Linked DNA regions of Macaca mulatta. The protein of the gene in region 2 purifies or fractionates together with the protein of the main gene of each other region. This does not show direct contact. Links are inferred from orthologs where the notes say so. Each region holds a gene or a part of one and is shown on either strand. Other genes may lie near its edges.

Region 1 (4,405 bases), on a different chromosome or scaffold from region 2:
GTACAGGGGGTGGGTAGATGTGTATTACATTGACAATGCTTTAGGAATGGAAAAACGTAAGGAGCAAATACCATATATTTTCTCATATTCATGTTTTTTTTTGTTTTTTTTTTTTGAGACAGAGTCTTGCTCTGCCGTTCAGGCTGGAGTGCAGTGGTGCGATCTCAGCTCACTGCAACCTCTGCCTCCCAGGTTCAAGCCCTTCTCCTGCCTCAGCCTCCCGAGTGGCTGGGATTACAGGTGCCCACTACGACGCCTGGCTAATTTTTGTATTTTTATAGAGATGGGGTTTCACCACATTGGCCAGGCTGGTCTTGAACTCCTGACCTCGTGATCCACCCACCTCGGTCTCCCAAAGTGCTGGGATTACAGGCGTGAGCCATTCTGACTGGCCCATGTTTTTTTTTTTTTTTTTCTTACTCCCCTGGGAATTTTTTTTCTGTTTAATTTACATGTGGAAATACATGGTAAAGAAGAGTTGGTCACCTAAATTTTACAGAACTCGAGATACTAGTTTAATACAACTAGAAGGGACAAAATATCTTGTTATATTGCTATTAGAGTTCTCCTTTCAAAGGCCTGCCTTCCCCCTCCCCCATCCTGGGCATTATAGAGATAGTAGCACAGAACCTAATAAAACAGATACTACACCTCCTGAGATACCTAATTTTTGGGAGTCTAAGAATTTCTTTAGGTGAAAGTACACTTAAAATCAGCACCTCAAACTGCTAGAGAAGTATGCTAAGTATATGCTATTGGATTCTAAGGTTCATTGGATCTATCATTACCATGAATATAGAGGATGTAAGTAGATAATCACAGAATTACAGGAACATACCCGCTTAAATTTCCCAGAGACCTTGTTCTGAAGTCTGCTACAGTTGGTACTGATCTGATAGGAAATGCTTTTAATTGTTTTTCCACTTTGAAGAACTGGATGAGATTCTGCCAATGTGATGACACATATTCTACAAGGAGAAAAAATTGATCCTATGTGATTGCTTGGAATAATTTTTCCTCCCATAATTCTTATTGGAACAAGAATGTATGAACTGGTATTTGTTTAGTCAAACTATCATCTTCCCCCTTTTTTCTTTGGCTACTATTGGGGCATAACTGTAGAAAGGAGAATACAATAATAAAAGAGAAAACAAGATTGAATTTCTTTCCCAGGAAAGGGAAGAGTACCAGAGATCTTTAGGTAGGTTGCACTGGGGTAGAAGACAAAAAAATAAGGCATGCCTGTGTATACAAGATACCATGTATGTCTCTACCGTAGCCCTTTCTGTGGGCTCTTAACAGTTCAGTAGTTGGGAACAGACTGGCCACTTCAGGTAGTAGCTGATGATGTGGTCCTCCATTTGGGTGTTTGAATAATCAAATTTATTTGTTTAGAGTGGCCAGGCACTGGAATACTCATTCTTGCCAAACAAACTCCTATAATAATACCATTTCAACACAGTAGAAGATAATTAATGCATGTTTGTTTAGTGAGCATTTGTTCAATCCAAGACCACAAGACCATACCAGGCTACAATACCAGAAAAAAAAAAGGTTTTGATAATTTAAAATTCCCAATTTGCTTACCGGTTAGAGTGCTGTAGTATACAGTGGTCCTCACAAAATTTTCCTTTGACATCTAGAAGAATAAATGAGTCTGTTGGTGGCTGAAATCAATACTTACTACCACTATGTGGTCCTTTTTTGGGTCATAGAGATAGTTAATAATGAAGATTGGACACATACATGCTGCATGCTGGTCACTTCTATCCCTACATTGCTCAAAAAGACATACCCAAAGGCTTCCTGGAAAGTATTTAAAGAGATCTGGCCCAGACAGAATAATTTATTCAACATTAAGGTAATTAACTCCTTGCTCCATCTTCCTTTACACTCACTTCAAAATGAGTACACACAGTATTTTTGCTAGGAAAATGCAATTAGCATCCCATTCTTTATGATATATATTTTTTGTTGGTGGTTTCCAGGACTGTTCTGATGCTGGTGCAAGTCCGACATTCTGGGAAACCCCTCAGTCATGGGTCAACTAGGACAGGTTGGTCACCCTATGTTTGACCAACAGAAAATATGCTACAATATATATTTTTTTAACTGAGTATAACCATTATCACTGAATGAAAGGAAGAAAGGAGAGTCCCAAACGATGCTCCCGCCACTGGTACTGCTTACACAAAACAGTACAAAAAGAATACCTACTTCTAAGTGGCAGATGAACAATACCGGTGGCGTCTCCTTAAGTAAATGTGTAATTCTGCTTTCTAAATGTCTGTAGCCCACCCTCTTCTCGCCAGCCCTACTGCCTCTACCTTGGTTTCGATCTGATCATTTACATAATTTTATGTATTGCTAATCGCTGTGACAGTGAGCCCCTCAATCCCTCCAGGCACTTCAGGACTGTGGCAACCTAGCCCTGCGCCTACCTCCGGGGCCTCCGTGAGCTACACCCTAGAGCTCGCACTGCAATCGCCGGTCCCAGAATGCGCCCTGAAGTATTTCAGGCCACCAGGTCTTTGCAAATGCCACTACCTGGGCCTAGACGGAACACAGAAGTCCAGCTCCTTCTGACGTGGGAAGGGAGCGCCAGGGAGAGAGCGCGTGGCTTACGATCTGTCAACGTAGTCTCCACAGCATTAGGCCAATGCGGCCAAGGAGGGATCAACATCACTCTGCACTTACCCGGTTTGTACCAGCGAGTGAAGTATCGATCCACGAGCGAAGGCACCACCGGCTCCGCTGCTTCGGGCTCGGTAGCCATGGCGACCTCCGGCGCCGCCACCCCCTCCCTCCCGGACCCCAGCGCTTCCTCCGCGCAGCCCCGGCTGGGCGTGCTCTTCCGGCGCGCAGCGCGTGTCCTGCGCACGCGCACTTCTGCCAGCTCCGCAGGTTCCGCCCCCCATTACTGTGCTTTGGGGTTCCACATCAAAAGAGATCAAATACAAAAGTGTGGGCAGATGGGCAGGAGGGCAGAGGGACAGGGGATGCGGCCAATGTAGTTCCTCTACCTCTACGGTGCCAGGGCTACAAAGAAGGCCGGTCCCGGTAAGTGACCAAGAAAGCGGACCCGGCCACGCCTCCGCCGCTGGATGACGTCACCCCGCGCCGCCCTCCGCGGGCCGGGCCATCCTAGTTGACGCGACCATTGCGCAGCTGGCCTCTGCAGTGCTTCAGCGCACCCCTGGAGGCCTAGTGCGCTCGGTGAGAGAGCGGGAGCCTAGGACCGAGACGCGTGCGCAGTTCGGGGCGGACTCTGGGTAGCCGGCTGCGCGTGGCTGGGGAGGCGAGGCCGGATGCACCTCTGTTTGGGGGTCCTCAGGTAAGCGATCCATCCGGGGCAGGGGCACGGGAGTGGACCCCTCTGCCGGCAGTGTCCGGGTGAAAGAGACCCGGAGGCTCCTCTGCCTGCTGCGGGCCGGGGACTGGAGCGCGGGCTGCACCACCTCTTTCCTAGAGCCTTAAATTCTTTTTGCAGTTTTGCCACCTGCTCCATCGGGGGCGCTGGGAGGCGCGACAGCCCAGGGATACCTGCAGCACCTCTAGCCAGACTTAACCCAGCCTCTTGATTGCTTGCAGGGGGTTGATAATAACGCTGAAAGCTAGAGCATTAATTCACGATGGAAGGCGGCGGTTAATAGAGGCTCGGGTGCTGTCGTGCGGGTCCTTTCTGGCGTCTGAGACTTTTTCGTGGAGGTGGTGTCCTCTGTGCTTCTCCATCTAACGTGGTGTTTTAACGTGGCTTTCTTTCCCGTTAACGATGATCTCCGTGGAGACAGTGGCTGCCTGAGTAATCTTCAGATCCCAGCACTTAGCAAGTGCCCAGTCGGTGTTGGATGTAGGCCACAAACCGGATCGTAAAGAATTCAACAGCATATTGACAGCCACAGCCACGGCGCTAACCAATGAATAGATCAATATGAAGAGTAAGCAGAAAGGCAGCAAAGACAGTTTTCCAGCTCGGGGACATGGCGTAGAAATGGCCTGTCCCGAAATAGTGGGAACTGTCATTTGGGGGAAGAATAGCAAGTTCTTTGCTTTCCAGGTCGCATTTGATGTGCATGTGAGACTTGCTTGTGATATTATCAGGAGGTTAAAAATGTGGGTTTAGTGGTCAGTTTGGGCTAATTCAGTCGGGGCTAGGCATTTAGGCCTAATCAGCGTATTCGTGATCTACCTGGTACATGTAATCATGCATACGATGTCTAGCCAAGAGGTGGATAGTTGAAGGGACAAGGGAAGAAAATGAAGGAGTTGTCAGAAAATTTAAGAGAGAATTCACTATTGACCTTTGGTGTGGAGGAATCTTTAGTACATTCAAGGACTGAGAAAAGTTTGAATCAGTAGAGGCAGGAAGTTTGGAGGTTGCAGATGTCAGAGAAAGAGTATCAAT
Region 2 (4,395 bases):
CAGGAGAATCGCTTGAACCCAGTAGGTGGAGGTTGCAGTAAGCCCAGCACTTTGGAAGGCCATGGCAGGCGGATCATAAGGTCCGGAGATCAAGACCATCCTGGTTAACACGATGAAATGCCATCTCTACTAAAAATACAAAAAATTAGCCAGGCATGGTGGCACGTGCTTGTAGTCCCAGCTACTCCAGAGGCTGAGGCAGGAGAATCGCCTGAACCCAGGAGGCAGAGGTTGCAGTGAGCCAAGATCGCACCACTGTACTCCAGCCTGGGCGAAAGACCGAGACTCCATCTCAAAATAAATAAATAAATAAATAAATAAATAAATAAATAAATAAATAAAATCTGTGTGGTCAAGGTCAAGTCATTATTATTTACTAGTGATCTGTATCCCTTTTCCCAGTCCATTTAATCTAGTTTGATGCAGAGAAAAGATTGGATGCTGTGAGGGGCTGAATATAAGCATTTACAGTGCATCTCTGACTACATACACAGAGAAACTGTTTCTGTTTCACCGGTTATTCTAAGTTATTTTTTCTCCATTAGTTTAGCTTAAGACTTTTACTTAATTCAGAAGTAACATTTAACTCAAAAAGAAACACAAATACACCCTCTTCCAATAAACAAATCAATAAGCACTTTAAAAGGACACTTAATGATTTCCCTAGAGACTTAAATAGCTATATTAAAATTTATTTTATTTTCCATGGCTATAAGACCATGTTTATTTCTCCAATAAATTCACAAGAACAAAGGTATCATGCAAAGCGAATAAACGACACATTACAAACTCCTGGCTCTGAGAAGTTCCCAAACCTGATTGATGAGAATTACAAAACTTCCAGTCCTGAGTAATTTGAAGAGGTCTAAAAATAGACCCCAAACAAACAAAAAGACCTCTTTTGAATGTGTGTTAATAAACGAGCTATGAATTTACAAACCTCTCAACATCATTTTCACCTCCTAACAATCTATCAACTTCTCAATTTCACCTACCAACAATCCATCAACATTAAAAGGAGAAAACACGTTACGCCTTAAATTTGATTGTTTCATCGTGAGGTAATAAAATGTCAGGATTTCATAAGACATCAGAAATCGGTTGTCCATATTAGATTATGCTTGAAAGCAAGCCCTGAAAAAGGCATCCCATAATGTAAGTTTTCCAGTGTTGGTTACCCTCAAGATGTTTGCTTTTCGTTTACGTGTTTGTTTTATAGAAACAACGCTAACAAGTTGCTACACAGCCGCCTTTCACGTGTCAGGCTCCCTAGGAGGACTGAATCCCTCCTCCCCAGACCAAGGATAACTAGCCCAGTCTCTGGCTTACTGGAGGAGAGGAAGGACTTTATTTTCACCTCCTGGACGATTACAAAAACTAGTCATCGAAAACGAGGAAACGAGCAGGGTGTGAGAAAAAACTGCCTGAGTCTCATATCCTAAGATCTTTTAAACTCCTTTCCCTACCGAAGGGTGTCATTCGTACCGCGGCGTGGGGCTGGGGGTGTGGATTTACGGGGAAAAAGGTGATCACACTTCACTGGGCTTCTGAAACATTCAGCTATGGAATCTACTGTGGACTCTTGAAAAGTTCATCCCGAGATCTAACCTCAAGCCTCAGTTTTGGCCAAGCAAGCCCTTCCCCCTTCGGTCAGGTGCAACAAACTTCCCACTCACCCCTCCTTTGCTAACAAAGCCGCTCCAGCAGGAGAGAAATGACCTCTCTCTCTCGCCACACCTCTTCTGCACCCAGTCTGCACTCCTTCACCTCATACGTACCCGCCTCACCTTCTCCCCAGACGCCGGAGCCTGAGATTTAACCCCTTCCGGCCCTCGAAGGGAACGGGGAAGACTAAAGACAACGCACCTATTGCGTCTAGCAATTCTGTTCCCCGAGGAAACGTGAGCTTTAAACGAAAGTACCAGCCCGTTCTCGCTAGGACTAAGTGAGCTTCTCCCTTCTTGTTTGTAGGGAAATCCGTCAAATCGCCTACTTTGCCACCTCACCCCACTGCCCCCGCGACTGTAGGAGTGCGTGGGGCTTTACTCCCAGCCTTACTGGTCCACTCCCAGAAAAGCCTCTGTCGGACTCTGACGTCTAGGGAGTCGTAGCCGTTGCCAGAAATATCGATGAGCCTTTACCCTGAGATTTAGAACAGGAGCTTTTTCTGGGGCACATACAAAGAACGTGTTTCTTCCTACAAATTAGTAGCATCCTCTCGCTGTATGGATTCAGCTGGCGAAGTAACTCAAGCCTTGTTCTGACTGCCAGGGTGGGAGGGGTGGACGGCTCGGTGTTCTTCCCGTTGTGCCTTGCGCTCGAGGTGCTGGTCTACGCTGGCCTGGACAGTCCGGGCTAGGAGCGGGAGCCGAGCGGAGGCGGAGGAGATGGCGTCCCAGCCGCCACCTCCCCCGAAACCCTGGGAGACCCGCCGAATTCCGGGAGCCGGACCGGGACCAGGACCCGGCCCCACTTTCCAGTGAGTGTGGGATTCTTCAGGCTGGGAGGTTGGTGGGCCCGAGCGGGGACTTGGCCGAAGGCGGTTGAAGCGGTTGTTGGGGGAGGTATTCCCTCCCCCCCTTTTAACCAGTCCCCAACCTTGCGGGTAGGAGTCGAGGTGGAGTTGGGGCGCTTACCAGTGGGGATTTTTCAGTGTCTCACAGCTGTTTCTGACCCCCGGCAACTCTTAAGCACCAACGTTTTTTTCGGGAGCTCCTGGGCGTCTCTCTGGGTCTCTGTGCTTGAAAGAAAGCGGGGCGGCTTCCTACCTACCCATTCTGTTTTCACTTTGACAGAACGGCTTCACTATCTTTAGAGCATAGACTTTGGGTCTGTAGCAGTTGACAGAGGCATTTGTCCAGCCACGGCATCGGTAGGGAACAAAGTCTCGTTAAAGGTGTTAACCTCTCGAGAAGTTGCCGAAAGCCCGAAAGGTTTTACGCAACTAGAACTCAGGCCCCGAACGCTTTGCCTTCTTTTCCAGCGTAACTCAGCCAGTGTTTCAGTTTGAGATTGGAGAAGCAACATTAAAGCAGGAGTTCTAGATCTGAGGCCTATGGATGGCCTTTGTGTGCAAAATGATGTATTTTTCTGAGGGCTATAGTTTTTTGTTTGGTTTTTAATCAGTATCAGTTGGTTTCTAGGACTTTGAAAAGGCTAAAACATGCAGAGTTGGGAGTGTTTCATGGCCTCGTGTGGCTTTTGTTTGGTAGTACTGGACATCTTAATTCAGATAGGTGTGATTCAAATGTCAAATCAACTACTATTGTAGATTTTCGTAAGCGTAAAAACCCCAACATATTGGAATGTATTTCTGCTGTGTTCTGAAATCTTTTATTTAAACACTAAAATGCTTTAACACGGTAACTACTTAGTTTAATAAGGATATATACATCACAAGTAATAAGCTTTAATTAGGCTGGTAAGCCACGGTGACATTATCTGCTACCTTTTTTATGATTCGGTTCTTTTTTCCCCATTTAGACTGCTTGTCGAATGAGAAGAGGTTTTATTTTTTGCATCTGTTAAAGTTCTTTTTATGTAAAATTAACCATTTGCTCACTTTATCATGAAATATTTTAAACACAGAGACTAGCAGAGAGTAAGAATACCTGTTTATTCACTACCCAACTTTAAAAAATGTTAACATTTGCCAAATTTATGTCGCATTTTTAAAAATAAAAGTTAAAGTCTCCCATTCTTCTTTGTAGTAGTGACTATTGTCCTTATTTGGTGTTTCGCATACCCAGTAATGTTTTTTAACTTTAGTACTTAGGTTTGTGCTATTTATATGCATTTTATATCTAAAACTTAACAATGTAACAGTAATATATATGTTATATATAGTTACATGTTAATGTTTATTATTTTTTATATCTGTTTTTGTTTTTTCTGTTGCCCAATTTTCTATTGGCTTTATCTTTGCTTATCAATTTGTAAGAGTATTGTTAATACTAATCCTTTTTTGTTACTACATTTTGCTAATATCTTTCTCTGTGTGGCTTCTCTTCATGTTCAATTTTTTGTACAGATGTTTTTGATTTTAATATTGCCAAAACTGTCGTATTTTATTGTTTGTGCTTTTTGTCTTGGTCAAGAAATCCTGTCTACCTAGATCAGGACGGTTCTTCTGTATGTTTTCTTTTAAATCTTCTGGTTTTCCCATTTATATATTTAATCCACATGGAACTAACTTTGTATAAAAATCGATGTGAAGTAGGGAATCTAATTTTTTTTCCATATAGGTAACTAATTGTCTCAGCACCATTTATTGAGTAGTCTATTCTCAGTTTATAATGCCATCTATATCATACCAAGTTTTCCTAAATATGTAGTTCTGTTTTGGGCACTTTCTGACTTTCTACTAGCACCACACTATCTTAATACAGAATTTTA

Evidence for each region.
Region 1: the proteins of PUS10 (region 2) and ABITRAM purify together in Homo sapiens (affinity purification with mass spectrometry; 3 studies listed by BioGRID and IntAct, counting the BioPlex papers as one, with this or other methods). This does not show direct contact. The link is inferred for Macaca mulatta from reciprocal best matches to the Homo sapiens genes PUS10 and ABITRAM.

The regions. Positions count from the first base shown.
Region 1 is NC_133420.1:49,472,751-49,477,155, forward strand, and holds the start of ABITRAM (protein Abitram), read right to left. Parts: upstream 2,823-4,405; 5' UTR 2,777-2,822; coding exon 2,698-2,776; intron 1,640-2,697; coding exon 1,588-1,639; intron 969-1,587; coding exon 839-968; intron 1-838. UniProt on the Homo sapiens protein: Actin-binding protein that regulates actin polymerization, filopodia dynamics and increases the branching of proximal dendrites of developing neurons.
Region 2 is NC_133418.1:63,755,853-63,760,247, reverse strand, and holds the start of PUS10 (tRNA pseudouridine synthase Pus10), read right to left. Parts: upstream 2,890-4,395; 5' UTR 2,637-2,889; exon of another isoform or gene 2,480-2,636; coding exon of another isoform or gene 2,388-2,479; exon of another isoform or gene 1,867-2,387; intron 1,854-1,866; exon of another isoform or gene 1,677-1,853; intron 1-1,676. Other genes in the region: PEX13 (peroxisomal biogenesis factor 13), read left to right, coding at 2,388-2,479. UniProt on the Homo sapiens protein: Protein with different functions depending on its subcellular location: involved in miRNA processing in the nucleus and acts as a tRNA pseudouridylate synthase in the cytoplasm.